Linked DNA regions of Astyanax mexicanus. Each later gene encodes a partner of the first gene's protein in a complex. Links are inferred from orthologs where the notes say so. Each region holds a gene or a part of one and is shown on either strand. Other genes may lie near its edges.

Region 1 (15,986 bases):
AATCGTTGGTAAGATGGCAGCACAAGCGACCAAAGAAACCCACAAATGTAAGTATTTTCTTAAAAGTTAAAAGTGACGCTTAGCACTATTTTACCAGAGCTTAATGTATAGTTTCAATGTTTTATGAGAGAATTCTTTATAACAAGCATGAAAAAAGATCGCTAGTAGTTTGCCTCAGTAGCTAGCTAGCTAGCTAACTTTCCCATTCCACCTTAAATGGTGCAAAAGGGACTTCACAGAGGAATAGACAATAATAATTAATTTCTGCACCAACAGCCTGCTTTCTGAAGACATACGATAAAGCCGTAAAGTTAACCAGTTAACCAGCATTTAGGTAACTACCTTCCAATTCTTAGGATGGAGGATTTCACCCTAAGATTTACACTCAAAAAGAAGGGGTAGGGGTAAATGGTAGGGCCAAGGGGTGAAATGGGAGTGAGCCTTAGACAGTGCTCCAACTCATAAACTCATCCTAAAAATGATGGATAAGGCATCGTCATTAAAGAGAATACATTTTTCCTGCTCCACAGCTGACCCACACCTGGCATTAGCCACAGTGTCAATGGGTTCATGTACTGTGTTTCAGCTATACTTCTCTACAAAGACTTAAAGCTGTGTGCATTTGTACATACAGTATCAGTCAAACATTTTGACACATCTGTTCTCATTCCATGTGTTTTCTTTCTTTTCTTTTTATTTACATTGTAAATTTAACGTTTAAGATATAAACTCTATACAGGAACACACAGGGACTTATTTTGCAGACAAAAAGTAAACAAACCAGAATATGTTTTAAATGTTAGATTATTCTAAGCTGCCACAATTAACTTTGTTGGCAGATTTGCACAGATTTGTGTCCACAAACATTTGGGCATGTAGTGTATAGTAGTGTTTGCAAGTGCTGACCACTTCAAAAACTGGACGCAGGGATAAGGAACTCTGAAAAGTTTGGACTGAATTTCTGGATGGTTTTTACTGAGTGGGTGAAATCGGACCCCCCCCTTGCTCTCTGACTGAGAGCAGGCATGAAAGACATGCAGGTAAATGGACAGGTGAAATTTTCCATTACAGAAAATGAAAGAAAGCATGGGACAACTTTTGGACATGGTGCCTCTCCCTTATTTAATAATGCCTGAGGTAACACCTTATGATCAGTTTAGAGCAGAGAGGCCTATGCCAGTTTTAGATGAGTCTATGGTCAGTCATTGGTTTGATTAATCAAATTTACAATATCTTATTTCAAAAGGTGGGCTTGATTAGGTGATGCAAAGTGATACAAGTGATCTGTAATACACCACATTAGGCACTAATGGTCAAATTGAAATCATTTAATTAAGATATATATTTAATGCCATCTAGTGGCTTTTTTTGGTACCAGCAGTGTGCACTATTAAAACAGCAATGTGCAACATAAAATAAATAATAATAAAATACAGGAACATGGTCATGTACAAAATAATAGAACAATTAGAGCCTTAACAAACTGAACTGACTGAAAAGAACTGAACAAAAACCTATTATTAACTTTATCTGAGAGAAAGATGCTCCTTAAGGTACCAAAACTATTAACAATATATATATATATATATATATATATATATATATATATATATATATATATATATATATATATAACAAAACAGGGTTTTTTAAATAAGATTTGTGTGCACTTTTAAAGTTCTTAATGCCTTGTTTTAAATGTCAGAGCTCTCCAGATTCTACCACGGAGGTGTGGAGCTACTTTGAGCCTGAATAACGGTGTAAAGGGTGATTTATCGGGGCAAAATATGCCCCTAAACGGCTGTAGTAAAGAGTGCTGGGCAAAAAGAACAAAATAACTGGATCTCAGAAAGCTGCGGGAGAACGGAGGTGGGCTTTTCAAAAAAGATTAGGAATGTGAATAATGTATTATGTAAAAATACATTTAAAAACAGTTTTATTTACATTGTTTATAATGTAGTTGAACTGTCCAAATATTCTTTTAAAAAAATTGAATTATAATGCAGTTACACGGTATTATCATTACATTAGTGCCATGAATTTGTCTTAAAATTTTAATAATATTGCTTTACTGAGAAAAATATTCAGTGAAAGGTCTTTCTTGCACACCTGTGCTTGAAACCAAAGGAAAAAAATCATATGGACAAAATTAGAATGCTAGTATGAGCTTTCTGAGATGAGCTCAACTCACCTTAAGATGCGATGCTTTCTGAATGGAAATTACTATAAAAACACAACATCTGAGGGATTTCCACTCGGCTGACGAGTAACAGTGAGCAAGGAAAACACTCACACATACACACACTTGTTCTCCTCCACAATGATGCAGCAAGTCTTTTGCAGACATGAAGCGCATGAGAGAGTTTGGCTGTGTGGCATTCAGGCTTTTAATTAATTATCACTTAGCTGAGGGAGAAGCTGATGCATTACCCTCAGTACCTTCTACTGGCACGAGTCAATGGGAAGCAAGAGTCATTAGCAAACCTCAGAAGACTCACTCCATTACTCTCTTTCTCTCAATTTCTCCCTTTCTCTCTTTCATTTCTCCCAGCCTCTGTGTTTTTTCTCATCTGCTCTATAATAAGGACTTTTTCTATGCAACCATGCATCATCAAATGAATCATTTCCCAGAGCACATTAACCTGTCACTGGGTGCAGACTAAACAGCCTCGCACTGCACAGTATATCAGCCAGTGATCAGACGTCACTCGGAATATCAGCTCTTAGTGAAAAAGGCCTAAAATTAGACACAAAGTGTCATGTGCACTCACTGACAAAAACACAACGCATTCCAGGTTCCTGGAATACTATGAATGCAGTTTTGTCTCAGGCAGATACATAAATAATTACAGGTGTGGTCTGATTAGACACTGGGTTTTGCCAACATATACAAAGTGTCTATAAAAAGGCTCTCAGGGGCTACTTTTGGTTAGCGTACCTCTTGGTGAGAGATTGTTGCCTGCTAGACATGCTGAGTGACTTTCAGAGGGGGTGCATTATTGGATTGAGAGAACCACAATGTTTTTTTATGAATTTCCCACCATTTTGCCTGTCTTTGTTTTAGGTGGTGTCAAGAACAAGAAACCTGAACTGCTATAGACAGAAACCTTATTCAGGTTCTGGTTGGAATACAACGACAATTAAGTTCAACTAGGAAGGCCTCATAGTGAGCGTTTCAATTTTGCCTTTGCCGTGGATTAACATACTCCCCCAACTGCTGGTGTGATTAACTTATCCAATCACTTGCATAAGTCAACATTATTCAGAATCACACACAGAATGTTTCGTTTGATTCTAACAGTTATTTCCCAGTGCATTGTATTTTTTGTCCATGAGTGTGTGACACAGGGGGCTTCTCACTAGTGAGAGTGGTGGTGGGTGGGCATCCACACAGTACAACTCGCCAAAGTGCTGAACAAAGCCATTTGCTAGAGTGACCTTGTTCACTGGTTTAGAGTTATAACTGAGCTGAAAAACACAACACACAAAAAAGTCAGCACTCAGCGTTGCTATACATGCAAAGCATGTGAAATGATAATGATAAAAAATTAGGCCACATCCCATTGGTCTGTAATAACCAATGCTTATCACGACTAGAGGGAATGAGGCGGTGACAGCCTACATACTCGGACTAACAAACTAGGATCCATTACAATTGTCTCTTTGTGCTGGACACCTGCTGATAGTCCACCATGCCAGAACAGGACGGCCTTACTTGCTCACCATAGAGCTCTAGGAGGTCACAGTCAGGATTTTAATTTTCCAAGCATGGCAATGGTTCAAGGATGCTTGGGCATGAGTTAAAACTACAGAACCACAGAGTTTAGAGAATGTGTTTCGAGGGTGTAAATATAACACTCAATTCCAAAGCAGGTTTCTGAGTTTACTGAGTTGGTGAAATTAGATCCCTCTGTTGTGTAGTGATTGAGAGCAAACGTGGAAGCATGCAGGCACATGGATGGGTGCAAATTTTCCTCACAGAAAATAAAAGAAGAGGAGAGGAAGAGAAGTTTCTAGTGCCGTCCCTCTTCCTTATGTTATATGTCCACAAAAAAAAATATTTGGGGATAGAGAGGGTCATCCTAACCCCTGTGCTGCCTGGAAATCCTGGCCATTTATTTTAGCTGCATCAATAGGAACTAAACTGGCAACCTCATGATACTACGGCCAGTGCTTGGACAGTTGCGACATTTGGGAATGCAAAAACATATTATTAGTATTGACAATTAGCACTTCTTTGAAAATAATCTAAATGACATTCTTGGACGCTGCTGCCAGCTGACATACTACTGTTTACATTTAGATTTTGCAAATCAGTCAAACATTGCTATTCTTTATTGTAGACCAACTTTGATTTTGCGGTTGCATATTGGTGGTACTTTTAACTAGCTGTTTTTAATAGGATGCTACTAATTGGTGGAGTCTGTTGTTTGCTTTGAGGACCTTTACTGCATGTTTATCAGTGATATGTATTTAATATAGTATTAAATTATTGAATGAACTGTAGTCTATTATTTAACTAGCTGCTGTTTGTTTCAGGTCTGTTGGTCTGCCTTTGGGCCGCATACGGTAGGGTAATCAGGATTGTATGATTTTGTCATATTAGTAACCTGCAAAAACATAGATTTTTCACTCACTGAGCACTCGTATGAACTTCAAAACTTACAGGTAGCCTACAAACTGGATGTTTTGGGTTTTTTTGCATACTAAGAAATGTATTCCTACCTGTGCTAGTTTTCCTGGGTACCATAAAGAGATGGGCAATATGACAATATTCTGTCAAATTCACAAATTCAACACGTTTTTTTATTACGGTATCGACAATATGCTTTTAAAGCATATCGAGCATATCAGTAATTAAACGTGAGTTAAATGGCAGGTATTTGAAGTGCTTTGTATTTACCCCCTGGAAAAAATAAATAAATAAATAAAATAATAATAATAATAATATATATATATATATATATATATATATATATATATATATATATATATATATATATATATATATATATATATAATGTTTGTGTCTGGATATTGATTAACCAGTCAATATCTACCAGATATCCTGCAGTAGTACTGTCAAACTGAACAACGATTTTACTGTATTGTCAATCTCATGGAAAACAGAAACTGACATACTGTCTAAAAAACTATTATCAACCTATTGTACACAATATTAATATTTCAGACTGTGCAAAAATGTGCTCTTTAAAACGGTGCAAATTGCATTATTCTGCTATTGCATTACAATTATAGCAGTGTCCCAGAATGGCCTTAAAATGACAATAACATCCTTATATTATTACAAATATCATTTTTAAAGCTTGGACAATATATCGTCCATTAAAATTAGTTATCGTGACAGGCCTTTAGGGAGGTAAAAAGCGTGATAAACGGTTTTTCTTGCCACCCTCAGCTTCCACACACCACAAAGCGAGCTCTTTAGCGTGAGTCGCTTGCTGCTCCATTCAAGGGGCGCCAATCCCCATGCTCACGGTGGAAGCCAGTGCGCGTGCGCAAATGGCAACAGACACCCCACCATTAAATCCACGTAGCATTATATAATTATTCAACACGTTTCTGTGCCAGTCTGTGATATAATATCGTTATATCGTGCAAGAACGTTCATTAAGGACTTAATATGAATTTGCTACAGCCCTGGTGGTGGAAGAAGGTGGAGACAGAGGCTGAGCCCTGAGCCCTCAGCTCCTTCTCTCCACTGAGAAAACACAGTCAACACAAAGCAGCCAGCCTCCTGTCTGCTCAGTCAGACTCCGAGACAGTGACATTCAGAGAGAGAGAGACCCCCATGGTTGGTTATATGAGCTCGCTAGCACATGTGGGTTGTGCTGCTGCTGCTGCAGGGTTGCTGGGTTGGTTCTCTCACACAAAGCTGCAGCCTGTGGAGACTGTGTGGAGAGCCCGGTGTGGAGCAGCAGCAGCAGCAGCAGTGAAGGAGTGAGTGATAGAGGGAGAGAGATAGTAAAGATCCGGGGAGATGAGATGGGGATGTAATTGAATCTATTTAGCTGCTCGTGTTGAGCTCGGATCCTTTAAGTGAATGCCGTTTAGCGCCGGTTTAGAGAGACGCGCGTTCTGGGAGGAGAAGGAGGAGGAGAGCAGGTTCAGGTTTCATCACTAGCTTGCTTACCTGAGCTGCGCGCTGAATCACCGCCGGACTCGATGAGGATGTTGGGGTCACTTTGAGACCTGCCCCTGTGCAGGAGGCATTTCTCCGCTTCGTCCGAGCAAGCCATGGGTATGAAGAAGCCGAGGAGCGCAGGAATGATGAAGACGATGATGCTGGCCCGGGAGGCAGTCAAGGTCAGCGCACAGCCGACTGAGGGACGGACGTGATTCGGTCTGACAGCCGCTAAGAGCATCCAGCGAGCATGCCTGATTTAGAAGCCCAGTGTGCGTGTGCGCGCGTGTGCGCTCGTCTGCTTGTGTGGAGGATGCGCGCGCCTGTGGAGGGGAGGATGAGGGATGGAGGGAGGGAGGGTTTGTGTGTGTGATTGTGTGTGTAGGTATTGTGACTGTGTGTGTGTGTGTGAGTGTGTGTGCATGCCTCGTTTGACCGCACTGACGGACTCTGATTTGCTGGATGTATAAAGGAATGGCTGTGTGTGTGATTTTTTTCATGAGCCGTGTGTTTTTATATACGGGGCGTTTCAATACAACAGCATCCATTCAAAAGATATGCGCTCAGTTCAGACAGCGCTACAGCGCCCCCAGCGACCGCACGGTGACACTGCAGCCAGAGGGCTGATTAGTGTTACTCAGACAGGCTGCGGTTAGTGATGCTGCTTAAAGATGTTCAAATACAAATACAATCTCACTGATTTGTGTGAAGATGTGACTGCGTGATTTTTAAGTTTACGGTGATAAGGTATATGAGCTCGTAAGACTGGCTTGGCATGTTTTGCACGTCTTAAAGAGGCACTAAACCCTAAACCATTTTTTTTTCATTAACAGCTGAAATGTGTTCCTCTGAAGTAATAATACATACTAGCCCTGCTTAAAAATGTATAAACATTTCTTAACCTTTAAAAAAAATGTTTTTATTGCGACCATTTCCATTTCTGCAACGCCCTCACAGGTTAAATTGTGCTATAGGCGAGAAAAATGTGTTTTGATATGCAATCAGTCAATAATACCGCCCCCTCAGCTGAATCAGCTCTCCCTTCTGCCCCACCCCTAAACCCATACATCACCCAGTGCCCCACCCAAATAACATCTTTAATTTTTTTTTCTTTTAAGCATTTTTTACATTTGAGCTAAGGGTGCAGTCAGCAAAAATCATGGGGTTTAGTGCCCATTTAAAGATAACATTTTCCATATTCCCCCCCTAAGGTCCACAACCATAGTAATTTTTATACACTGGCCTTAATAAATGGTTTTAGTCACATAAGTTTTGTGCTCACACTGTTAACCATAAAAAAATCAGTTGCATAGTTTATCTATTTATATAGTTTGAATGTAATCTATGTCTATGTAATATATCTATATGTATAATATATGTCATTTTAACAAATAAATAAATATTTTATGTCTGCATCAATGTTCTTGCTATCTCTTATCTCTGTTATAAAACCTCATAAAATCAGCAAACAATTCTTATGAAAACATTTTACCTGCACCCAGTGATGTTAGTTGCATTGGCAGGAAGCATGTAGAAGGCACAAAGGTAATGAGTACGACTCTGATATCTCTGGTTATGGTCCAAAACCAGACGAACACTCTGGGGGAAAAAAAGCAGAGTAGACATTACATGTGCTTATTTGGTGATATGTTTTGAGCACACACACCCAAAAGTGTCAAAAGTATACACATTCATTACTCAGGTAGAAGTATAGATACAAGGTTTAAAAATGTTAAGTAGAAGTTGAAAGGTCAGTTCAAGCGTTTTACTCAAGTAGTGTAAAAGTACTGGTTTCAAAACAATTTAAAGAATAAAAGTAAAAGTAATGTAAGGGGAAAATGCCATTAAGGACATCAAAGGCTTATGCTGCACCAGAGGAGTCTACAGTGCATTACCCTCCTCCAAAACACATTTTTCTAAAATACATAATGACTATAATTTTATGTTGAAAGGTTAATGTTGAAAAAATGAAGATGCACTAGGCTCCCTGTTTCAGCTGCACATATGCCCATTGAAAATTAATGCATTTTAGTACAGTGTAAATATATTAAAGAAGCATAATTGGGACATTTCGCTCCATTTTCTTGAGGCACGAATCATCTTCATACTAGATTATATACATCTGCTATGTTTATGCTGGAGTATAGGCGTGACATTTGCAGAGGGGATGAATTGTGTATAAACCAGTAGGGAGTCGGAATGGTATATGTTTATACTTCTCATGCAACCACAAGCTGCAAACTTCTCATGCAAACACAAGCTGAAATGAAATAGGAGTAACAAGGCTATTTTTAAAATGTAAGAAGAAGAAAGTTCAGATAATTATGTGAAAATGTAAGTAGTATAAGTAAAAAGTTGCCTGAAAAATAGTTAGTATTAGTAATTAAAGTATAGATAACCACACTATCTACTTAAGCAAGGTAACAAAGTATTTGTACTTCATTACACTCCTGTGTGCGGCACCCAAGCAAGGAAAATTTACATTTTGAAACTTAGGCCCAATCCCATTTCTCTTTGATTGTTATCCTTTCCCTTGGGACAAAGTTACTTAGGGAAAAGTTAAATTCAGCCCTTCAGGCACCTGATACAGATATATAGCAGTGGACTGCTAAGGTTCAGCATCCCAACTGCTGGTTAGTTAACTTTAGGGCACTGTATGTCTTCTGCACAGCTCTGTAAAACTTAAAATCCTTAATTTTGACACCACAGTGTACGAGCTGTTTGCGACAGTGTGGGCGGAAGTACACCTTGGCATTACCTACCCGATCTGTGCCCCTGCTCATCTCGCTCAGTTTGCAGTGCGCATGCGTGCGCATGCGCGGCACAAATCGGGCAGGGGGTACAGATCGGGGAGTGACAGTCAACTCTCTCGCGTCGCTCAAACCGCCCGCTTCGCATCGCGTCGCTGCTTGTCGCCCAGTGTCGCTCGCTCTCATTGAAAATGAATGACTTCCGGCTGCTTTGTCGCTCGCATCGCGTTCGGTGTGGACGAACGGTAATGTGAACGTAGCCTGAAAAATCTCAGTCTAAAAAAAGCCACCCCTTCCTCTTCTCTTTCCCTTTAATTTCCCTTAACTTTCCTCTTCCCAGGGCCAAGGTCTGATATGGGATTGGGCCAAACTCTCTGTGCATGTCTGAAAGGGTTAAATGTCATTGCTCTGCGCAAAGCGTGCGCAGTGTTGATGGTGGTACTCGTACAGATACTGCGCTCCCATTGGTCATTGAGGAGGTTGTCGTTAGGAGGCGGAGCTGAGGAGTGAGGGTGGTTACTGTAGTGGTGAAAATGGCAGCGCTGTGTGTTTTAATATTGAGTGCTTTAATATTGTCGTGTAATTGTGATAGTGTGGAAAAACCGAACGATGTCACGGGACCCGTCAGCAGTTCTGAACCCGGGCAGAGCGAGTCTGCAGCGGTGAGCTCCGGCGGCCCCGTGGCCGCTCCGGTCAGTGAGGCAGATGAGCCGGCTGAAGCGGCGGCTGGAGGAGCGGTCAGCCCGCCGGACCAGTGCGACGAGGAGCTGGTGCTCAGACCTCTGCGCTCCGGGGATATATACGCCAGCTTCCAGTTCAGAACACAGTGGGATACAGACTTCCTGCACCACGGGAAAAAAGGTTGTATAATGTTATAGCTAAGCTGTGCGCCTTTAATTTGATTTAGCGAGCTGCTTCCTGCCTAGCTGCAGGCTAGCTAGCTGTTTGGGCTGTGTCCCAATATCTGAATGAATGAGCCTACCTTCCTTTGCTTGGTTTAGTTAGCTTAGTGTTTGTCTAGCCGGGTCCTGTGGGCATATGTCAGTTCATTTTCTGCTTTAATAGACCCAGGGTAATTTCAGAATGGGCTGTTAATGAGCTAAAATTGTAGATTAGATGTGTTGGGAGCAGGGAAAACACTAATTAGCTAAAAAAAAGTGGGCATCCAGTTTAAAGAAGCTAAGTGTTAGCTAACGTTAACTCTACGTGGTTTATTAGCATCTGAGAAGTCCACGGCCTGTTTAAACACACTAGCTAAATAGCCAACCTAGGTTAACTAACATCCCAAAAACTCTTAATCTAGTGTTTAGATTTACCATCTAGTATATAATTTGTCCACAATATGTTCCAGTACACATGTCTGCTTGCACAGTACTGTATAGCTCAGAAAGTTAGCAGAAGAGAAGACATTGTGTTATTGGGATCCAGCCCAGTCTGTGCTGTAGTTATGTATTTTAGTGAATATAACCTATAGTACAAAAAAGTTAGGACACACTTCGTCTTATTTAATGTATTGTCTGTTTTTATTGCAAATGTAATACTTAATAATTATTTTTTTTAAATAAGTGTTAATAAAACATAATATGAAAAAGAGATTCTTCTAAGAACCACATGTAGCTTTGAGGACAGATCTGCACACTTGGTATTTTAATCTCAGTGGCTTCATGAGGTAGAGTCACCTGAAATAGTTTTCTCAGTGTCTTGAAGGAGTTGCTGTAGGTGCTGAACAATAGTTGCTGCTTTTCGTTCAGGCTGTGCAGCTCCAGATCAGGGGATTTGGTTTAGATCAGGGGATTGTGGAGACCAAACACTTTTTTGTTTACTACATAATTCCATATGTCTTTCCATTTATGCTCTAAAGACTAATGGTTGTTTCGTCTTGTGTTCTTTCCTTCACCCACAGTGTCCCATTACCGACTCTTTCCAAAGTCTCTAGGCCAAGTGCTGTCCAAGTTTTCTGTGCGGGAGCTGCATATCTCCTTCACCCAGGGCTACTGGAGGACAATGCAGTGGGGGCAGCCCTTCATCCCCTCTCCTCCTGGGGCTGAGCTCTGGGTGTGGTTCCACAACACTGTGGAAGAGTAAGTAACAGTGTGCCTGTATACAGCTAAATAGTCATATTGCTGTGATTTTCAGCTACTTCTGGCTACTGGATTTGCACAGATCTCCCCATCAAGTCACCCTTCCTAAAGAAACAAATTAGGAGACCAATCACTGGTTGAAATATGAATGGAACAGAGCAGGGTCAATGCTATGGTCTTGCTCACAGCCTAACCAGGAAAATGATTGGCCCTTGTTGTTTAGGAGACTTTATGATTCAATTTAAATTAGATGCAACGGTGAGTGTTTTGAGAACTCTGTCATATTTAAATCAATGACCATTTGCTGGTATGTACTGATACCACTTCAAGCACTAGTAGCTACAACTTAATGTATTTTACTTACATTTAAATTATTTATGAATAATCTCAACATCTTCCTTTAAAATCTAAACATTTATTTATTGTTTATAAATATCTCAGGGAATCTATGTAAGCAGACAAACTACTTTTATTTTTCTGTCCTTTTTATTAATTTATTGTTTTTTTTTTCATTGAAAAGCTCAACTGTTGATAAGACTTTAAAAAATATGTTTACTTATAACGCTCAAAAAAGATGATTACTACAGTAATTGCAGGCTTTTAGTAAATCACTTTGGGATACAGCATACATTTTTTTTTTTAAATTGCATTGTTTTTAGAACATAGGAGCATTTTCACCCCTGCTCTATTTCCAGTAAATTAGTTTTTACCCTTTTTACACATGATCCAAATTGTTTGTGCAGGTGTGAATACAGTAATCACACTCAAATGAAACCCTTAAGAGGAGACGGTTCTGTACAGTGTACAGTACAAATGTACACTGCAATAGTTTGTTTGTGGTGAAAATGTGATCTGACCTTGATCTTACACACCTATGGGGCATACTCTGAATATATACTCTTTTTATATAAATTAGCCCCATATTCAGTTTAATCTGGTATATTATCCAGATAATTATTACAGCTGTGCGTAAATAACCCTACTCCTCCTGCTCCATGTGAAACTTCACAGAAACATGCACTATAAATATTCACAGGATCTTTTTCCTGTATTTACTCAAACTCCAGACAGATCGGAGCAATAAATAAAGAGAATGTTCTCATGTGGTTTGTTGACACATTTTGGCGTGTGTGCAATGAGTTTCAAGTATGCAAACTCATTAGCAGATTCAGAAACCTACTATAGCAGTGAAAATTCCTTAAGTCACTAAACAAACAAACTGAATTGATCCTCTGTTTGTATTACAGTGTGGATGGAAACTGGAAGGAGCTTGTCAACGTTCTGTCAGGCATCTTCTGCGCATCTCTAAATTTCATCGATTCAACAAACACAGTGCAGCCAAGTGCTTCCTTTAAACCCCTGGGACTTGGAAATGGTATTATTGAGTCTTTTAGCTATTTTATTGCTTCACTTATTTGCTATATCAATTTCACAGACTTTGTGTTCTCCCTCATGCAGTTACTGATCATCGTTTCCTGCGTTATGCCACATTGCCGCGCGAAATCGTCTGTACTGAGAATTTGACTCCTTGGAAGAAGCTCCTCCCCTGTGGCTCCAAGGTGCTGAACATTGCATTTGGTCTACTCTGATGCACAAGGTCTATTGATCTGAGTTTGTCAAGATAATCAAGCTAATGCTCTGTGGATCTTTCTAGGCTGGTCTAGCAGTGCTGCTGAAGTCTGAGAAGCTCTTCCATAGCAGTTTTCACTCTCAGGCTGTGCATATCAGACCTGTTTGTAAGGTGAGGTCCTATGAGTTTCCCGTATTGGTCACATGGTGGAGAAGGAACAAAAACAACGATTTCACACTCTCTTTAAAGAATCAAAAATTGTAACAGCTTTGTGTATAAGAAGTTTTTTTTAGGTTTGTACTTTGAATAACTGTAACCAAAATTGAAGTCTTAAGTCAAGTTTTGCACACAATAATGTATCATTTGTGTACGACATTTAAATTCTTGCTTCTTCATAGCTTTTTTTTTTCCCACCACATGGTACCTACACTATTCAACTCTAATGTACCATATGTGCCTAATGAAAATACAAAAAGCACTATAAAACTGTCATAACGTGCATCTTTAAGTAAAACGCACAAAGAAACAAACTGGCTGTAGTAATAACTAAGGCTTCATGGAATGCTTCAAGCAGAATGAGTTTGCTGATGTATTTACTGTAATATTTCATTGCTAACCACAAAATAACTAAATAAAACATCTCTAAAATGTTACCTTTACAAGACAGAACATTCTAAAACCTTTAATATAAACATTTTTTATTGAAATAGTTATGGAACATTTTCTGATATTATTTTATTCTCTTGATGCGTCATTAGGATTGGCAGTGTACAAGCACAGCATGGGAACTAAGACAGACTCTCAATGTAGTGTTTGACATCTACACCTCTGGCCAGGGCAAAAAAGGTTAGTGACACTTAATAAACTATGCAATAAAATGTACACAATCTCTGTATTACAGTTTGTCTGTTTAAACATATTTTCTTTTTTTTACAGAGTGGTCCCTTTTCAAGATGTTCTCTCGCACTTTAACGGAGGCTTGCCCTTTAGCATCTTCAAGCAAGGTTTACGTAGACGTCACAGACAACCCGGAGGTAAAGTATGAAGCCCTTTGGGAAAAGTTCAGAAGAGCTGAAGAATGTGCTGTTTCAATATGTGGTAGAGCAGGGATGTTCAGTCCTGTTACTGGAGGATGTTTTTTCTATTGTAACACAAGCTGAGTTAAAGATGATGTGTTGGAGTAAAATTTAGATTCGAGGCTGAAATGTACAAGTAACTGTACTTCAGGAACACAGTTGGACACCCCTGGTCTACAGGATGTTCATGTTTGCTTTGACATCAGTTGACATTATGCTTTTTTGCCCAACAGGGGGAGCTATTTGACTTGAGCCCAGTCACCCCTCTCCTCAGCACAGCTGTGGTTCTTGGTGATCGCAGGACTTACTCTGTATATGATCTGACCAAAAAAGAGACTTTTGGCCAGCTGCGCTCACTCAATCTTGTCCTGCGCTGGAAAGGGGAAAGTGGTAAGCACAGATATGAGGAGGATTTTCTCCTAAAATGAATCCCACAGCTTTCCTCACAGTTTTTGGCATTGGTTGTTAAAAGACCAGATCATAAAAATACTGTTTTAAAGTCCAGAAAATAGATTTTGCTCACTTATTATATTCACTACACATTTTTGTCCACCACATGGTACCTACACTATTCAACTCTAGTGGACTTAGTTTCAGGTACTAGGTACTAGATGTGCCTAATGAAAAGGCAAAAAGCACTATAAAAGTGTCATAACAAACTAATATGAGCTACTTTTTATGAATCTGACCATGTATCTTTAAGTAAAACACAAAAAAACAAACAAACTGGCTGTAGTATTAACTAAGGCTTCATGGAATGCTAACTTAATCTTGTCCTGCGCTGAAATTTGATGTAGATTTGAAGATTTTCTCCTAAAATGTATTCCACAGCCTTCTGATTTTGGCATTGGTTGTTAAAAGACCAAATCTTAAAAATACTGTTTTAAAGTCCAGAAAATATATTTTTTCTCATTAATTATTATATTCGCTATACATTTTTGTCTTCAGTATTTAGTATGTACTGCTTCGGATCAATTTAAAAGCATTTAAGGTCAACACTTCATAATGTTGATGATCCCCTTTATCTATTTAGTATGCAAGTACATCTAGGTTCTGTTAGTATAGGTTCACTCAGGTGCCCTGTTTCATATTGCCGTTAGTTTGAAGCAGTTTGGTGTCAAAGCAGCCAAACATGAAAAATTAAGGGTGTTTTTACACCTGCACTTTTTAAATTATTGTATCTTTGGCACTATAAGGTGGACAAGGCGCACTATGAATGAACGTCTAGTTTCTGGTCTATATTATTATATATTATTATATTATTATATATATCTGGATTGTAAGGCCATTTTAAGAGACATTACAAGGAACTTCTAATTCAGCAGGTCTCGCCGCTAGGAGGTGGTGGTGGTGGTGGTGGTGGTGGAGGGGGGGGGGGCGGTAGCTAACTAAGTTAAGTAAAGCTAAGCTAAGTAAACTAAACTGTAATAAAAAATACTTTCTTTTAAAGTCAAACGGCTGTTAATCTACACAGATTTCTATCCTGACAACTGTTTATTTGGGTGAGTAAAGCGTTTTTTTTTTTTTTTTTTTAAACAGTGGCCTTAGATTTTCCGTATTTCTCCAGCACTAAGAGTGGAGCATTAGCAGCTAATCGCTGCCGATTAGCATCTAATTTATCTGCCTGTTTGTCCCATGTAGCTTGTTTTAACACGGTAAACGTGCAGACTACAGTCCGATATACTCGCCTCTGAACGGCAAGAGAGTCAGTGTGGTTAGCGGCTAATGCTGCTCCAGCAGTGCTAGCTGGGGGTTAGCAGCAGGCTACAGGCTCACCTCTGAACGGGGAAATAGCGATTAGCGGCTAATGCTAATGCTACTCCTGCCCCGGTGCTGGAGAGCTAAACTGAAACTCCTGTATAACACTGTATTTCTGTGGAGTGGCTTTACTGCTCTATACAACCTGACTGGTAAAATTCATACATAAGGCGCACTGGATTAAAAGGCGCACTGACGATTTTTGGGAAAATTAAAGAATTTTAGGTACGTCTTATTGTGCGAAAAATACAGTAATTGGTTATGTTGGACTCAGGTTTGTTTTTACTTTTAGTGCATGAACTGACCTTGATCTGATTCTACTGTTTGGTGAACTCCACAGGGTTTAGCTGAGCAATGTATTTTTTTTTTGGTTTATTACCCAGGTAATTACTACAGCTGAGAACAAAAGTACTCAATTGTACAGGAATATGAATTAGTTGAGAAAACAGGACCTTCTTCCTGTATTTACTTTTTTGCCACCTACACAGCTATGTCTTGACAAAAATGTGGAGAGAACATTCTCACAGTATATAGTAACTCATCTTGGTTGAATTTTTCCTATGTGTAAAAACAAACAATTAAAAAAAAAAAAATTATTATTAACAA
Region 2 (16,514 bases), on another chromosome or scaffold:
AGATACCTGTCCCACGTTGAACAGCAGCGTGATGGCGTAGTAAAAGTTGGAGTTGGCGCTGCCGGCGTAGATCCACAGATGCCAGAGAACAGGAAACAGAGCCGAGCACGCCAACAGCACACACGACACCAGAAATATATTCCTCAAAACTGCAGGAGAAACACAGCTCCAATTAAACACAGACACAAATACAAAATCCACACAGAAAATCTACTGATTTATTTTATATTTATACTTACTAAAGCAATTTCAGCTCATAACTGAGATAATTCCAATAAATAATGACTACATTATCTATATTATCTCCCGATATCCTAATACACAGATCATCTTACAGATAAAATTTATATTTCTCATTCGGTCACATTATTAGATTATTCTACTTAAAAAAAGGTAACAGCAGAATTAAGATACGTCCTCTTACTTCACATCTATTTTGCTTATTTTATTAAATAGAGCAGGTAATGCAGCTCATATCATAAAATAATGCAGATCAATTAGCAAATTTTAGGAATCATCATAGTTTAGCTCCTCACATCTGTAGAGATGACTCCACGCCGGGAGGAAGGCCATGTACAGGGCGATGTCTCCCACAGTGGGGTAGGATTTAAAGATGGAGATGATGGCGATCTGCATGAAGATGAGGAACACCGGGTGCTCCCTGCAGCGCGCACACACACACACACACACACACACACACACACACACACACACACACACACAAACACACACACAAACACACACACACACACACACACACACACACACACACACACACACACACAGATACAGATACAGATCTGAGATCAGATAAACCGCTGTTCATCGTGATCACATATTTACAATCACCAATCAGAAACAGAAAAAGAGTAAAAGTAGTTGAAATATTGAAAATAAGCACCAATTGTTTTTTTTTTTTGACCTTTTGGTTCTTTGTAGTACTGAGACATTTCAGTCGGTGCCTTTAGGTATCAAATTTCATAACCCAGCCCCTATTGATAAACTCTCTAGATATGGGGTATGGAAGTGGGACTTGGGGAATGAAGATGGGCAAAGTTCTAGTTAGAAAATACTGCCTGAAGCTCTGCTGTCAGTCATTAGACATGTTTCCGTAATATCTGATGATACATCCTAATGATTGAATGAGTTTCTACAAAAATCTAAATCCTTATTAATTCTTTAACAGTATTTACTAATACAGACTTACTTCAGTTTGATGGAGAGAGGGATGGTGTAGAAGAAGACGTTGATCTGGAAAACGCAGATGAAGAAGAAACGGAAGTGTTCGAACATCTCAGCAAAAAAATACCAGAACAGCCCGATGTTCGGAGTGAGATCCGGTACTGAGAGACTGTGGAGCGCACACACACACACACACACACACAGTTAAACAATAGAAAGAATAGAACAATGAAATATAGGGACAGGTAAATAAGAGCGCAAAATGAAAAGTGTGTACGCAACACTGGTTCAGTTCAGCGTTCACTACAGATATAAACGTGTTCCGTTCTGCTGTTTTACCAGAATCACAGGAAAACGTACATGAATCCATAAACAGAGGGGATGAAATCCCAGGAGCCGAGCAGAAAGAAGGAGAGGCAGATGATGACCAGCAGACTTCCCACAAACATGAAGCCGTACTGCAGAGTAAACAACCAGAAACTGCTCCTGCAGGGATTCACCGGGATATACAGCCTCTGAGAGAGAGAGAGAGAGAGAGAGAGACAGAGACAGAGAGAGAGAGAGAGACAGAGAGAGACAGAGAGAGAGAGAGAGAGACAGAGAGAGACAGAGAGAGACAAAGAGAGAGAGAGACAGAGAGAGAGAGGCTCTTCACACAAATCATCAACATAAACAATAATGTGAACAATTGCTATTTATTATTATTGTTAATTTTCATCAAGTACAGTGTAAAAGTGGATTGATATTTGCTGTATTATTTCTAAAGGCTGTGTTGAGTTTGAGGAAGTGTGAGCTGATCATCACTGTACTGTAGATCTGGTGCTACAGGTGAGTGATACAGCTGCTGCTCACCTGTAAGAGGAAGAGGAGGGCGGGGGCGAAGAGGGTGAGGGGGTAGACGCTCTGATACGTCGCCAAGGCCAAGAAAATTGCACTCAGCAGCGCACTCCCTAAAACACAGCAAACACTGATCAAACACAAATATCTGTGTTACAGCACAGCTATACACTACCTGCTCCATACAGACTGATCTAAATCTGATATAAATCACCTGTACTCATACAGAATCCAGCACTAACATACTAATATAATATACTACTAATATACTAACTATAGTAATATACTAACTAACTAATATAAAACCCACAGTAAAAAATCCTACAGCTACAGGTGTGGAAATAAACACTGAGAAGATAAGCAGGTGTGTATTACTCACCTTTTATAGTAGAGAGGATGAAGAGAGCTATAACTGCATTATTCAGCCCACAGGTCGACTTCGCCACACAGGACAGAATCGTAAACGGATTCAACAGGTAACTGTAGAGCAGAAAGAGAGATATTACTGAAGAGGACAGAATACAGTACTGATATCTACAACCTGACTCAGGTTTAAAGGAGATCTATCTTTAATCTTAAGTTTCCCCAGTATCCCCAAATACAGCACTTTTAGCTGAATCTCCAAACAGGTTTATAATGTTAGTGATAGGAGCATAGAGTTACCCATATAAGGAAATCACTATTTTTACACCATAAACTCAAACTCAAAGTAGCTCCAAACTTCATTTGTAGAAGTCTGAGGGCTCGTGTTAAAATAAGCCATGTGGGCAGAAATTCGAGCTGATAGACGTTCACATATAGTGCACCTTATATTCCGAAAAATACGGCAGTTATCTAACTAATTCCATGCAGATGCATTTATTTATATCATGCCAGATATTAAACTGCAGGACTTAAATAATCTAATAGCTGATGTTCATGTTGTAGCTGAATGTGTTTAACGCTACTGCATGAAGTTTAGATTTTAAATTATGCTAATTCTACGTCTTATTCTGCGAGTTTATTGGCTGATGAACCCAGAGTTTACAGTGCTTGAGAGAAGTCACAACTCACAACGTCGCCACTTTGAGAGGGATGTAGAACATCTCTTTAGGGGAGCGCATGAGCTCCAGACAGTCGGGTGGGTATCTGTTGGCCTCCAGAGCGTATTTCTGTTTCCTAAACTACAATAAAACACAAGCAGGTTAAATTCACCCCTCAGTAAAGACAGATTACCTTCAATTACCTGTTTAATCAGCAGATACACTTCATTAATAGAACAGATCAGTCTAAATCACAGTAACATGCTGAACACTGAGACAAATTTAATTCATAATTCTAGACCACCTAAAGTATATGAACATCTGTATATTTATTATGCTCGTTAGAGGTGTGAGGAGATGAGGCATGATATTGAGGACTGCAGAGAGAGTTTCTGCAGTACAGAGAGATGAACTCCGCTCTGATCTGTGTGAGGATGTACAGTGAGGACTGATATAAACAGTGTAAATGTAAAACTGAACAGTGTCTCACTGATGAAGACGAGTCCTCCTCTTACTCACCACATTCCTGTTGTAGTTCTGAACAGCCAGATACAGCGCCACCGCCGTGATTCCATCTGCTATCTGCAGAGAGAGAGGATTAACACAGAGCTGTGACTCAGACCAGATCACGCCTGATTCAGATACTCTCTCTTCCTCTTCATCATCTGTCTGTTACAGCCAACACTGCTCTCGCGCTACAGCAGGACTCTCTCTCATGGGAACGCGAGTGTGTTACATACACACACAACATAGAAACACACACGCAAGGTCGCGCTGAAACTCGCTTTACATCAGGGACTCCCAATCAGGAAAACATCAACTTTAATTCTGTTTTCTTCTTCTAATTTTACCAAATTTTCACACAGCAGCACAAACCCAACTTTTACATCAACAATAAACAGAATAGTAAATAAAATAACATTGCTGTTCCCGTAAATGAGCTGCTGGAGCTCCTTCACAGCGTCAACCAGCAGCTCAGTTTTACTCTGCTGAGAAGAGTTTGTTGAACACGTCCAGGTAGCTGCACCGTTACAATAGCAATCCACCAAAGACAGAGCTCACCTGATCTACTCTTAAAGAGAATGATGAAGAAGAGACGCTCTGATTGGTTTATTATTTCACGTTACGCCCAAAATTATAATAAACTCACACCCATGATTAATTAAGAGAATTAGTACAGCCTTTTGTGTGTTTCAACTTGAGCAAGGTGTACTTTTCCCGTTGTTACGATAGCAAAGACACACTGACACCACGCCCTACATCAAGCTGCATGGTACACGGTTGGACTATGGATGACTAAAATTGAGCCCATTGTATTCATACCTATACACACAAGCACAGCTAGTATAATATGGAGGATAGAGGAAAAGAGAAGAGTGTGACAGGGATGGGATTTATTTCACTTTCTTGCAGAAGATTTACAATAAATTGAAAATTATACATATTTACTATAAACACAGACAGGGATATAAAGAGAATGAGACGTAATCAATATAAGACTTCAAATACTCACCATAAACACAATCTCTGCATAGTCCACAACAAAATGAAAGAGGTATATGATGAGGGGCGTCTAAAACAAGGGAGAAACACAGACACACACTAATCTCTAATATCTGCAGTAAGCAGTGATTTAATAAATCAGATCACACGTCTCTGAAACTACAGAACTCACTTCATGAAACACGTCTCCTGAGTACGGCGAGACTCCGAGGTCCAGCAGCGCCAGGCCTTCCACCACTGAGGAACACACACACACACACACACACACACTGTTTTAATACTGGAGATCTGCAGAACTCAGTATTCATATTCTTTTACTGTTTAGATCAAACTGATTGACTAGATTTGCTCCTGACCAGCACAGGGTATAATTCCAGTTGTGTGTAAGGGTTTATATTAGATAAGAGTATAATAAAATGCTGTGACATGATAAGAAGAATAAACTAAAATAGAAAATGATCAAAATAATGTGATGCTGTGATTGTATATATATAAAATAAAAATAAGAGAGCACTTTAAAACGATGAGTTTCTTTGATGTTACCAAATTGAAAACCTCTAGAATATAATCAAGAGGAAGATGCACCAGGAGTAAAGCAGCATAAAGTTATCCAAAAGCAGTGTGTAAGACTGGTGGAGGAGAACATGATGCCAAGGTGCATGAAAAAAACTGTGATTAAAAACCATCAGGATTATTCCACCAAATATGAACTTGTTTTCTTTGCATTATTTGAGGTCTGAAAGCTCTGCATCTTTTTTGTTATTTCAGTCATTTCTCATTTTCTGTAAATAAATGCTCTAAATGAGAATATTTTTATTTGTAATTTGGGAGAAATGTTGTCTGTAGTTTATTGAATAAAACAACAATGTTCATTTTACTCAAACATAAACCTATAAATAGCAAAATCAGAGAAACTGATTCAGAAACGGAAGTGCTCTCTTCATTTTTTACAGAGCTTTATGTATGTATAACATTAGATTAGCTAATTTAAAGCTATAGCTATATATATAAACTGTTGTCATTTTATATGTGTTTAAATATGCACTATTCCTATCACTGAATGATAAAACATTGTTTATTAATTGTAATAACACTAGTAGTTAACTGATAGCAGCTAGTTAGCTTAGCCTCGCTCCTGACAGGAGGTGGGGAACCCAGGTCCAGAAAGTAAAAATCCAGCCCCGGGTTTTGTACCCACTGCCAGGTCGCCTCTGCTGCGGGAGCCGCTCAGGCAGTTGGTATAAAACCCTGGGATGGAGTTTTACTTTCTGGACCTGGGTTCTCCACCTCTACTCCTGATCCATTAGAGCTGCATTAGCAACATTAGCTACATCCACAATATCCCCGCACCGCTGCGGCCCCGAGCCCCGCAGCGCCCCGCAGCCCACCTCTCTTCCACGCGCTGAGCGGCGACACGACCTCCACCCGCTCCGAGATCAGCTCCGCCAGGCTGGAGCGGAATAAAACCGCCCGAACCGTCACCGCCAGAACCAGAACAAGCGTTAAGGGAGCGGCCATCTTCACTGAGGAGACGCGCTAGCCGCCCTCACGGCGCGGGGTGCATTGTGGGAGGTGTAGTTTTTAGAGTAGCGGTTTTGCAAAGGCTCCCTGGTTCGGGTGAACCCGTAGGAAACTACAACTCCTAAAAAAACGCTTTTAAAAATCACCCCCCTTACTTCCCGTGACGACGCCGGAGTCGGCTTCTTTATTCGCCAGCTTCTTTAACCGAACTCCCCGTTCCACCTTAAAAATCCCAGCAGTTCCGTTCAGAACGCGCGCAGCAGTTCTAATGTACCCGCAGCGGTTAGAATGGAAAAGCTGCAGAATTTAAGGTGGACTGGAGAGTTCGATTAAGAAGCTGGCGGACAAGAAGCCAACTTCACCCTCGGCTTTTGTCGCGTGGATTCAACCTCCTAAAAAACATTAATCACCGCGATAAAATAATCATTTAGCGATCTTTATGTCTTCACTGAAATTAAAGCTCAACCGAAACCGATTAGGAGGTGAGCGCGCTTTTTTACACCACCAAAAACTGATGTTAGCCTAGTATTGATTTTAGTCTGCTAGGAGTGATTCTTACCGTAAACAGCGCCGCGTTTTATCCCGAGATAATTAAACAGGAGGATCAGCGGCCTAATTCGTATAAGATACAGAGTATTAAATCATTTTATGGCTCAAATTTTGCATGCATTTTTATTTTAATACTGATTTTAGGCTTTATTTCCAGTTTTTAGTGCAGAATGATAAAAACAGAGCTGCTGTTTTCTATTAGGCCACAGGAGCGCCTGTGTGTTTATATATAAAAACAGACTGATAATAAAAGAGCAGAGGCTGCTGGGAGTCTGTCTGTCTGTTCTGCTGCTAAAATTATGTATTTTTAGTTAGAATAGTAAAGCAGCTAAGCTCTGTTTTAGAGCTAGAGTTGTGTTTTTGTGATTTTGTGTTTTTAATCTGATTAAAGAGCTGATCTGTTACAAATATGCAGTTTTTAAATTTAATATAAGGGCCAGGGATGAGATATGTGTTCCATATTTAAAAAAATGTCCTATATTATTTAAAAAGTGAGGATAAACAGGCGAATCTCATGCATATATCGCATAGTTGTTTATGGTAATATATAATGTTTCTGATTTAATGAGAATATGGGTAAAATGAGATTTTTAGTTAAGCAGGAGGCTTATTCTGCTTAGATATTAAGTTTTAAATCCTTTTAAAATCCTTTTATGGCTCAAATGTTGCATGATGTAGTGCACTTTTTGTATTGGTGTTTCCATGTTTTTTTAGTAAATGCATGTTTTTTCTTTTTTTTAGTTTACTACATAATTTTTTCACACAAACCTTACAATGTATCACAATTTTTGTTGAATGCACCTTTTTTACATTGACTCCCATTGAAAGTGATGAAGGTTTCATTTCTGTCCTGTAAAATTGCTGTATTGTAGATACAAGATAAAACCCACTGCTGAGCAAAAAGAACATTGTTCTGTTACATCTGGTGTAAAAGTAACCTTTCAGAAAAAGAGCATCATACTACAGTAAAACATGGGGGTGGTAGTGTGATGATCTGGAGCTGCTTTGCTGTGTCAGGACCTGGGAGACTTGCTGTGATAAATGGAACCTGAATAAGAATCTCCGTCCATCTGTTCTTGACCTCAAGCTGAAGTGAACTTGGGTTCTGCAGCAGGACAATGACCCAAAACTCTCCAGCAGGTTCAGCTCTGATTGGCTGAGGCAAAACCGAGTGAAGACTTTGGAGTGGCCGAGTTAAAGTCCTGTAATTACTTTCATGTGAATGGGTGTGGCTGATCAGCTGTAGATTGAGTAGGCAGGGTTAAAGTGCAGTTATTGATTAGTGTATTTATGTATTGATTAGTGCATTTATGTATTGATCAGTGTTTTATTTATGTATTGATTAGTGTATTTATGTATTGATTAGTGTATTTATGTATTGATCAGTGTTTTTTCCCGGTCCTGTAGTTGATCTGTACGAAGCTCCGATGAGGCCGCGGAAGCCGAACTGGTCGACGGAGCAGAAGCTGCTGCTGGTGCAGCTGGTGAAGGCCCGGCGGATGGACCTGCTGACCGGCCGGCACTCCTGCCGCGAGATCGCCACCAACCGGCGGTGGGCGTGGGACGAGATCGCCGAGGAGATCTCCACCGCCCACCCGGACGTCCCGCGCACCGGGAAAGAGTGCGAGAGGCACTGGTTCGTGGAGCTCGCTAAAGCTAAAGAGGCTATGCTAACCCATCCGTCACCCACAGGTGAGCTAAGCCCATCCCCCTCCACCTGATTATCTGATTATCCTGTTTATTAATCAGTTTATTATTGATTATTGACTGCAGATCACGTCAGCCCCGTTACCAAGGTCGTGCTGGATATTCTCAAAATACAGAGAAAGGAGGCGGAGCTTAAAGACAGGTAAACTTTCATTATCATATTTACACGCATTTATTTCTTTATCTAAAGAGATTTATTTTTACTTTTTTACGTTTTGTTTCCATTTTAAAACTTTTTTACTTTAAAATATTTTATTTCGTTTTATCATTTCTGTTTAATGAATTTAGTCTGTCTGTCTGTCTGTCTGTCTGTCTGTCTGTCTGTGTGTTTTTAGATTAGAGGAGGAGAGCAGCGTGATCTTCGAGGAGGATCAGGTGGAGGTGAAGTACATCCCCTCTCCGGTTCCTCCAATCATGAACATCGAGCTTCCTGTCAATCATATAAACCACGATATCGTCAGACACGAGATTCCTCCTGTGAGTCCTCCTCGCTCCCCCTCCCCCTCCCCCTCCGCCTCCGCCTCCGGCGAGAAGACGGATCTGGAGATGGCGGTTCTGCGGCGTCAGGAACGGGTTCTCCAGCTACAGGAGGAATATTACTCCCTCAAAATCAAACACCTGAAAGCCCGGATGCTGATGGATCTTTGATGTGAGAGAAGATCCGCGCGGAAACTGACTCTTATTGCCTTAATAAACACTAGAACTCCGGTTTAGAACCTTTAGAACCTTCAGGACTGAAACTGCTGAACCAAAAGACGCCGAGCAGAACCTCCGCTTCCTCCTGAACCTTCAGCCCGAGGACCCGTGGTGAACTCCAGTGTTCAGAGTGTGATATGACACCTTTTCACCAGTAGATGGCAAGGTGGAACTTTATACTCTCAGTAGTGACTCTGTTTGAAGATTAGAGGAGAAATCTGATCAGAGGTGGTTTCAGGTGATCAGACCAGATTTCTCTGATTAAATAGAAATAAAAGTAGCATTTCTGAAGTTAAAACTAGCTCCAGATGTAGATTTATCTCATTAAAACGTTCAGATTCAAAGCTTTAGCTGGGAGGAACGATACGCTGGTGAGTGAAAACATCTTAAATTTAGTGTAAATATCAATATCAATTTCTTTTTATAATTATTTAACTTATTTCTACTAGTTTTAAACGTTTGTATTCAGTGAAATTTATCTTATTCTGTTTTTTTCAGCATTTGTAGCAGCATTGTGTCTTAAACAAGTCAAGAGACTTTTATAGAATAGAATAAGATAATTAATGTAGATATGAGTAGAAATAGGTCATTTAATAACTAGAAATAAGTAAAAGTATCTTCATGTTATTTTATGATATATATGTTGAACATATTGACTGGATTTAATATGATTTCTCACCAAATGAACTCACAGCCCAGTTTTCAGTTCAGCCAATCAGCCATAATATTATAACCACCTGCTGAGTGTTGTTTAGGTTGTTTAAGATCTGTAAGTGATATAAAGTCCAAAAGGATCAAACGCCTCCATCCGGTCGGTACTGAGCAGTGCATTCTGGGAAAACTCCACAGGACCTGTCTGATGTTCTGGAGATGTTCTGACCTCGTCTGCTTTCCATTACATGTTTGTTTCTTGTTAAATTTACGGACTGTCCACTTCCTGCCTGATGCTGCAGATCCAGTATCATATCAGATCATCAGGACTTTTATTATGACAGTATTGTTCTGATTATATTTGATCGACTGTTTAAACAGGTTGTTTCAGCCCTGCTGATTCTTCAGTGCATGTTCACAGTGTTTAAAAATGAAATGAAATGATTTAAATGAATGAACATGACGAATAAACAACATTAGCAGTCAGAAGTTTGGACACATTTGCTTAAGTATCAGGTTTTTATAATAAATGCTTGACAAATATAAACAGTCCATGTTGCAACTGCGTAAGGCGTATCATTATGCCTATTGCTATCTTACACCCCGTCAACAGTCTATTTTCCCTCCTTCCTCCTGTCTGGTTTAAACAGCAGCAGATCTTCTGAATATATCTACACTGATGGGCGTGGTGTTCTGGAAATGAGGTGTGTTCAGGTACATTTCTGGAGTTTTATCTTGTTTATCTTGGTTACATTATGATCAGGAGATTGTTTGTTCGAATCCTGATCGAATTGCCCTCAGCTGCCAGAGCCCTGAGAGAGCACAGTTTTGTTCTCGCTCTCTCTGGGTGGGTACAGTACAGTAGATGGCACTCTCTCTTTCTCCTCATCACTCCTAGGGTGATGTGAATCAGCACAAGGCTGCATCTGTGAGCTGATGTATCAGAACCGAGTCGCTAAACTACTAAACTACTAAAACTGCATTACTGTACTCACTCCTCGATGCTCGACTTCCTCTCAGCATTAAAAACTACAAATGTTCTGAACTGTACCGCTGCAGCTCTGTGACTAAAATTACACCCCGCTCTCAGCTCTCCACCAGCAGCAGAAAAAAGAGAAAGTTCCTCAGAGTTTACAGTGGGAGGCGAGTGTCACAGAGGAAATGTCAGTCTTAATGTGAATGATTTTCTGCAAAGCTCTGGAGGCCGTGCTGAGTGAGATTACACTTAACTCCTACCTCCTGAGGTGGGCTGCTCGCTTCAGGCCTGGCAGGAAGACTCTTTCTGTTTTTAGCTCCAGTTCTGTCCTTAACTAACAGCAAGATCCCCCGATTCCCTTCTGCTGGAGTTCAGTAAACTACAGTATATACAATATATATATACATATATACAGCTCTGGAAACAAATAAGAGAGCACTTAAAATGATGAGTTTCTTTGATTTTACCAAATTGAAAACCTCTGGAATATAATCAAGAGGAAGATGGATGATCACAAACCATCAAACCACCAAACTGAACTGCTTGAATTTTTGCACCAGGAGTAAAGCAGCATAAAGTTATCCAAAAGCAGTGTGTAAGACTGGTGGAGGAGAACATGATGCCAAGATGCATAAAAAAATAAACTGTGATTAAAAACCAACCAGGATTATTCCACCAAATATTGATTATTTCTGAACTCTTAAAACTTTATGAATATGAACTTGTTTTCTTTGCATTATTTGAGGTCTGAAAGCTCTGCATCTTTTTTGTTATTTCAGTCATTTCTCATTTTTTGCAAATAAATACTCAAATACTATAATAAATAACAATATTTTTATTTGGAATTTGGGAGAAATGTCTGTAGTTTATAGAAAATAGAAAAAAATACTTTAAGAAGAAATGAAGATCAGTCAATCCGGAAAATAAGAGTTTTAAGAACTTTGAAAGTATTTAACACAAAACACTATGAAAAACATTATAATGATGAAACTGGCATTCATCAGGGCCAGCTCAGGAAAGGATAGAAGAGCGAGAGTTTCCTCTGTTGTACAGAATAAGTCATCAGAGTTTTCAGCCTCAGAAACCACAAGTTAACAAACAGCTCCTCAGATAAGAGTATCTAAATACTTCACAGTGTATTTTGGTTTGTTTAACACTGTTTTTAAGTTACTACATGATTCATTATGTGTTCCTTCATAATCTGATAGATCATTTTACTATTCATTTATTAATGTAGGATAAAAAATAAAACATTGAATGAGAACTGGTTCAGTATTTTCCTAAGAAATATAAAAACGTCCATCATGCTGTGGAACTGGAGTGATGATGAAGATTGGAGTGGTAAAACTAATGGTCCTGAAGACTGAATGCAATCAAATCAAATCCTCCACACAGCAATGTTTCAGGAGCTAATGATGGCTTTATGAAAGGGAAAGTGTAGAGACTGTTTTTGTGCTAATGGAGATAAGAAACAGCTCTATCCTTCAGAATTCATGATGCTTTTTGATTTCAGTAGAAACTCTGTGAATGATTGCCCTCACAGCAGCCGAGGTCCTGATCTCAGGTAAAGGGGATGGAGGTGATGGTGACCTGAGAGCTCGGGTTCAGTTCTGGTTCAGTTCTGTAGAATATAAAGCTTTATCTGGGCTCATTAATGCAGACGGAGTCTCCAGTAGAAATGAAATGATTTTATTACTCCAGCAGGAGAAGCTTAACGCTTCCCTACAGTCGACTCGGGGAAAGACTTTGATAGTGTCAGAGTTTCGCTCTTTTAGCCTCAGCGATTTCTTAATTCCAAATGAAAACTCTGGAGTCAGGTTGATAAACTGACAGTCTGACAGTCTGAAGCTGTAATGTGATGAACAGAGAATCTGAGTTATTAGAAATGTACTGCAGCAGGAGAACGAGGGGCTGGAGTTAAACCCTCCTCCAGCAGAAGAGCTTCTCCTGCACTGAAACAACGACTGAAGCCTCGATAAACACATCCTGAAGAGAACAGCAAGAATATCAGCTCTAAACTACTAAACACCCGGCCAGGAGCTGAGAAATAGAACAAAACCTACTAATATACAGCTCTGGAAAAAAATAAAAATAAGAGAGCACTTAAAAATGATGAGTTTCTTTGATTTTACCAAATTAAAAACCTCTGGAATATAATCAAGAGGAAGATGGATGATCACAAACCATCAAACCACCAAACTGAACTGCTTGAATTTTTACACCAGGAGTAAAGCAGCATAAAGTTATCCAAAAGCAGTGTGTAAGACTGGTGGAGGAGAACATGATGCCAAGATGCATGAAAATAAAACTGTGATTAAAAAACAGGATTATTCCACCAAATATTGATTATTTCTGAACTCTTAAAACTTTATGAATATGAATCTACTACTTGCTAATTAATTAGCAATCTACTATTCTAACTTAAAAAAATGTGTTGAAAATTTTAGCAATCAAAAAATCTACCAGTTACAGGTTGACATTTTAGTAGTATTATTTACTTAAAATGTTCTGGTCTGTTGTTTTACATTAGATTTGGTTAGTGTTATGCGTTTTTTCTTTCTTTAAACTGATATCATAAAATTTAGAAAGTAAATATAAAAGCATATAACTGCTTCAGCAGCTAAACTATAAATACAGAAGTAATCTTATTAACATTAACAGATATAATAGTTTTAATAATTCCCAGAAATCACCAGGTCGTTTCTGATTGATTAGGAGATTATTTTAGTTTTGTGAATTAATAAAAAGTTAAGTACTGTAAAACAGATATGTTTTAGATATGCGGTGCGTCACTCTCCGTCTCTACAGTAACAGTGAGTTTGTGCGAGAGCGTCAGAGCGCACTCTGGCAGCGAGAGCGAGATTTTGAGGGATAAAAGTGGAAGTTAAGTTAATGAACTCCTGAAATGAACGCGGTGGATCAGCTCCAGTCAAATCAATCAGCTCCTGGCAGAGAAACCGGATCCTCCTTCTTACTGAGAGAAACAAAATCAACACCATCGACTCGCTTTCAGAGTTTACTCACAGTCCCACAGCTTCACAGAACTGTCTCACCTTTGATTGTTAAACATCACTCTAATGAGCAAACGGTACACTGTCTCAAAATCACTGTAGTAGTTTAGATAAAGGTGTGTTTACTGTAGTTGTGAGTTTACAGTTCTGTGAAAAAGTATAAAAAGTATTTACCTCCTACATATTTCTATAGTTTTGGGGTTTTTATCATAATTACTGTCAGGAGTTGCAGGGAGAGGAGGACGTGGAGAGAGGACGCAAAACAATGGAGTGTATTTTATTTATATTTTTTTCTATATATATATATATATAAATATGTGTGTTATAGTGTAATAAAAACAATAATAACTATAATTAAAAATAATCTCTTAAAAAACTTATTAAAACCCTATAATATCTTGAACATGGATGTTAGTGTGTGTGTGTGTTGGGGAGAGTCAGTAGTTGAGTGTGTTTATGTAAATAAGGTATAAAGTATCAGCACTTTTCTTCTATTCTTTCTTCTCCTACTGAGCTCCAAATACACCACGATTTAAACTCCATTTATTCACTCTGTCTCTTTATCTCTCTTCAGTTTCTCCAGGTTTATCTTCTGTTCTCAGATCAGTGTTTATTACAGATAGTTGGGGGTTTAGTCCGGGTGGTGATCCAGCCGCTGACCCCCAGTCTGCAGGATCTACACCTGCTTTAACCGGAGCTCTGGATCAGCAGCTCTGGATCAGCAGCTCTTGATCAGCAGCTCTGGATCAGCAGCTCTGGATCTGCAGCTCCGGATCAGCAGCTCTGGATCAGCAGCTCTGGATCTGCAGCTCTGGATCAGCAGCTCTGGATCAGCAGCTCTGGATCAGCAGCTCTTGATCAGCAGCTCTGGATCAGCAGCTCTGGATCAGCAGCTCTTGATCTGCAGCTCTGGATCAGCAGCTCTTGATCTGCCGCTCTGGATCTGCAGCTCTGGATCTGCAGCTCCGGATCAGCAGCTCTGGATCTGCAGCTCCGGATCAGCAGCTCTGGATCAGCAGCTCTTGATCAGCAGCTCTGGATCAGCAGCTCTGGATCAGCAGCTCTTGATCTGCAGCTCTGGATCAGCAGCTCTTGATCTGCAGCCCTGGATCAGCAGCTCTGGATCAGCAGCTCTTGATCTGCAGCTCTGGATCAGCAGCTCTTGATCTGCAGCTCTGGATCAGCAGCTCTTGATCTGCAGCTCTGGATCAGCAGCTCTTGATCTGCAGCTCCGGATCTGCAGCTCTGGATCAGCAGCTCTTGATCTGCAGCTCTGGATCAGCAGCTCTGGATCAGCAGCTCTGGATCAGCAGCTCTGGATCAGGGTATCAGCAGCTCCTCTCCTTCTTTCTTCAGTGAGAGCAGAAGGGCTGATGGTGCTCATGGCTACAGCTAGTGACACTAGGAGCACTAATAGAGCTCTGCAGTGAGGAGCTCTGAAGCTCTCTGTCACCACCGGCTTTGAACACGAGGCTCCTGAAAATAGCTGTAAACAAGCTGCAGAAAAAACCCACCATCCTCTATAGATACAGAGAGAGTCCCTGATCGACACTTTCACACCAGCTCTCCAATATAATGAGGGCTATTCGTGTGTGTAAGCATGACTGCATGACTACACACAACTATAGGTGTGTGTGTGTGTGTGTGTGTTCTTGAAGGTACAGAAATACAGGATATAGCATAAGTTTAACACCGCCTGACATTCACATCTTTAATATAATTCTATATAAAGGTCTTTAAATGTTTCAGTTTTTGGTTAATTTGAAATCAAATGTTAATATAAATCCATTCCAGCATTTCAGGCATATAACATAAAGCTCTGTAAAAAATGAAGAGAGCACTTCAGTTTCTGAATCCGTTTCTCTGATTTTGCTATTTATAGGTTTATGTTTGAGTAAAATGAACATTGTTGTTTTACTCTATAAACTACAGACAACATTTCTCCCAAATTACAAATAAAAATATTCTCATTTAGAGCATTTATTTACAGAAAATGAGAAATGACTGAAATAACAAAAAAGATGCAGAGCTTTCAGACCTCAAATAATGCAAAGAAAACAAGTTCATATTCATAAAGTTTTAAGAGTTCAGAAATAATCAATATTTGGTGGAATAATCCTGGTTGGTTTTTAATCACAGTTTTTTTCATGCATCTTGGCGTCATGTTCTCCTCCACCAGTCTTACACACTGCTTTTGGATAACTTTATGCTGCTTTACTCCTGGTGTAAAAATTCAAGCAGTTCAGTTTGGTGGTTTGATGGTTTGTGATCATCCATCTTCCTCTTGATTATATTCCAGAGATTTTCATTTTGATTAAATCAAAGAAACTCATCATTTTAAAGTGGTATAGTGTGAACAGAAGAGCTCTGTTATTAGGAGTTATAGAGTCTGACTGAATAATATTAGTTATAAGTTATAAGATCAGGCAGCAGTGAAGATACTGTATCTGTGATGAAGATCTTTAAAAGCAATAATGGAGAGAAATGAATAGTAAGTACTTCTCACCATCAACATCCCACCCCCCCCACCCCACCACATCCCCTGAACCTGGAGAGAGAGGATGTGAGAGACAGTGTGTGAGACTGTAAGAGAGCTATCATGAGATAGATTTAGAGAATTAGACAGAGAGACAGAGAGAGAGACAGCAGGCCGTGAGGCATTAGCATATGGCACTCATCAGAAGTCAGCAGTAAGAGAGGGAATTTAAAGAGCTGTTTGATTCTGTTCTTCTTGGTCCTCCTGGCTGCAGACAGTCTGCTCTCCCCTGCTGTTCACTCTGCTCGTGTGCTTCCCGCTGATCCGGGGACTCTGCTTGTGTGCTGCCCACTGATCCGGGGACTCGGCTGGTGTGCTGCCCG

Evidence for each region.
Region 2: the proteins of pigt (region 1) and pigu are in contact, whole or in part, in a cryo-EM structure (PDB 8IMX), measured with the Homo sapiens proteins. The link is inferred for Astyanax mexicanus from reciprocal best matches to the Homo sapiens genes PIGT and PIGU. Residues at the interface, in NP_057021.2 of Homo sapiens: Tyr361, Gly362, Leu363, Gln364, Lys365, Arg394, Leu395, Tyr396, Val397, His398, Tyr416, Pro418, Ala419, Gln420, Asp421, Arg422, Gln445, Glu447, Leu450, Leu451, Lys452, Trp453, Thr454, Pro518, Thr519, Pro520, Asp521, Phe522, Ser523, Met524; in NP_536724.1 of Homo sapiens: Glu30, Lys42, Arg43, Val45, Glu46, Ser49, Leu50, Leu53, Val55, Ser59, Gly60, Ala61, Val62, Pro265, Asp266, Leu267, Pro269, Leu273, Trp275, Tyr276, Phe277, Phe278, Ala279, Glu280, Met281, Phe282, Glu283, Phe289, Phe293, Asn296.

What each region holds. Positions count from the first base shown.
Region 1 is NC_064420.1:28,983,213-28,999,198, forward strand, and holds the start of pigt (GPI transamidase component PIG-T), read left to right. Parts: upstream 1-8,986; 5' UTR 8,987-9,428; coding exon 9,429-9,756; intron 9,757-10,798; coding exon 10,799-10,976; intron 10,977-12,223; coding exon 12,224-12,351; intron 12,352-12,434; coding exon 12,435-12,535; intron 12,536-12,630; coding exon 12,631-12,717; intron 12,718-13,304; coding exon 13,305-13,392; intron 13,393-13,482; coding exon 13,483-13,580; intron 13,581-13,855; coding exon 13,856-14,012; intron 14,013-15,986. Other genes in the region: phactr3a (phosphatase and actin regulator 3a), read right to left, coding at 6,155-6,386. UniProt on the Homo sapiens protein: Component of the glycosylphosphatidylinositol-anchor (GPI-anchor) transamidase (GPI-T) complex that catalyzes the formation of the linkage between a proprotein and a GPI-anchor and participates in GPI anchored protein biosynthesis.
Region 2 is NC_064412.1:58,067,414-58,083,927, reverse strand, and holds the start of pigu (phosphatidylinositol glycan anchor biosynthesis class U protein), read right to left. Parts: upstream 6,086-16,514; 5' UTR 6,063-6,085; coding exon 5,933-6,062; intron 4,782-5,932; coding exon 4,717-4,781; intron 4,615-4,716; coding exon 4,555-4,614; intron 3,624-4,554; coding exon 3,561-3,623; intron 3,183-3,560; coding exon 3,073-3,182; intron 2,500-3,072; coding exon 2,399-2,499; intron 2,133-2,398; coding exon 2,035-2,132; intron 1,698-2,034; coding exon 1,543-1,697; intron 1,352-1,542; coding exon 1,208-1,351; intron 662-1,207; coding exon 537-661; intron 150-536; coding exon 7-149; intron 1-6. Other genes in the region: uncharacterized protein si:dkey-6e2.2, read left to right, coding at 6,505-6,547, 8,022-8,306, 8,388-8,463, 8,657-8,969. UniProt on the Homo sapiens protein: Component of the glycosylphosphatidylinositol-anchor (GPI-anchor) transamidase (GPI-T) complex that catalyzes the formation of the linkage between a proprotein and a GPI-anchor and participates in GPI anchored protein biosynthesis.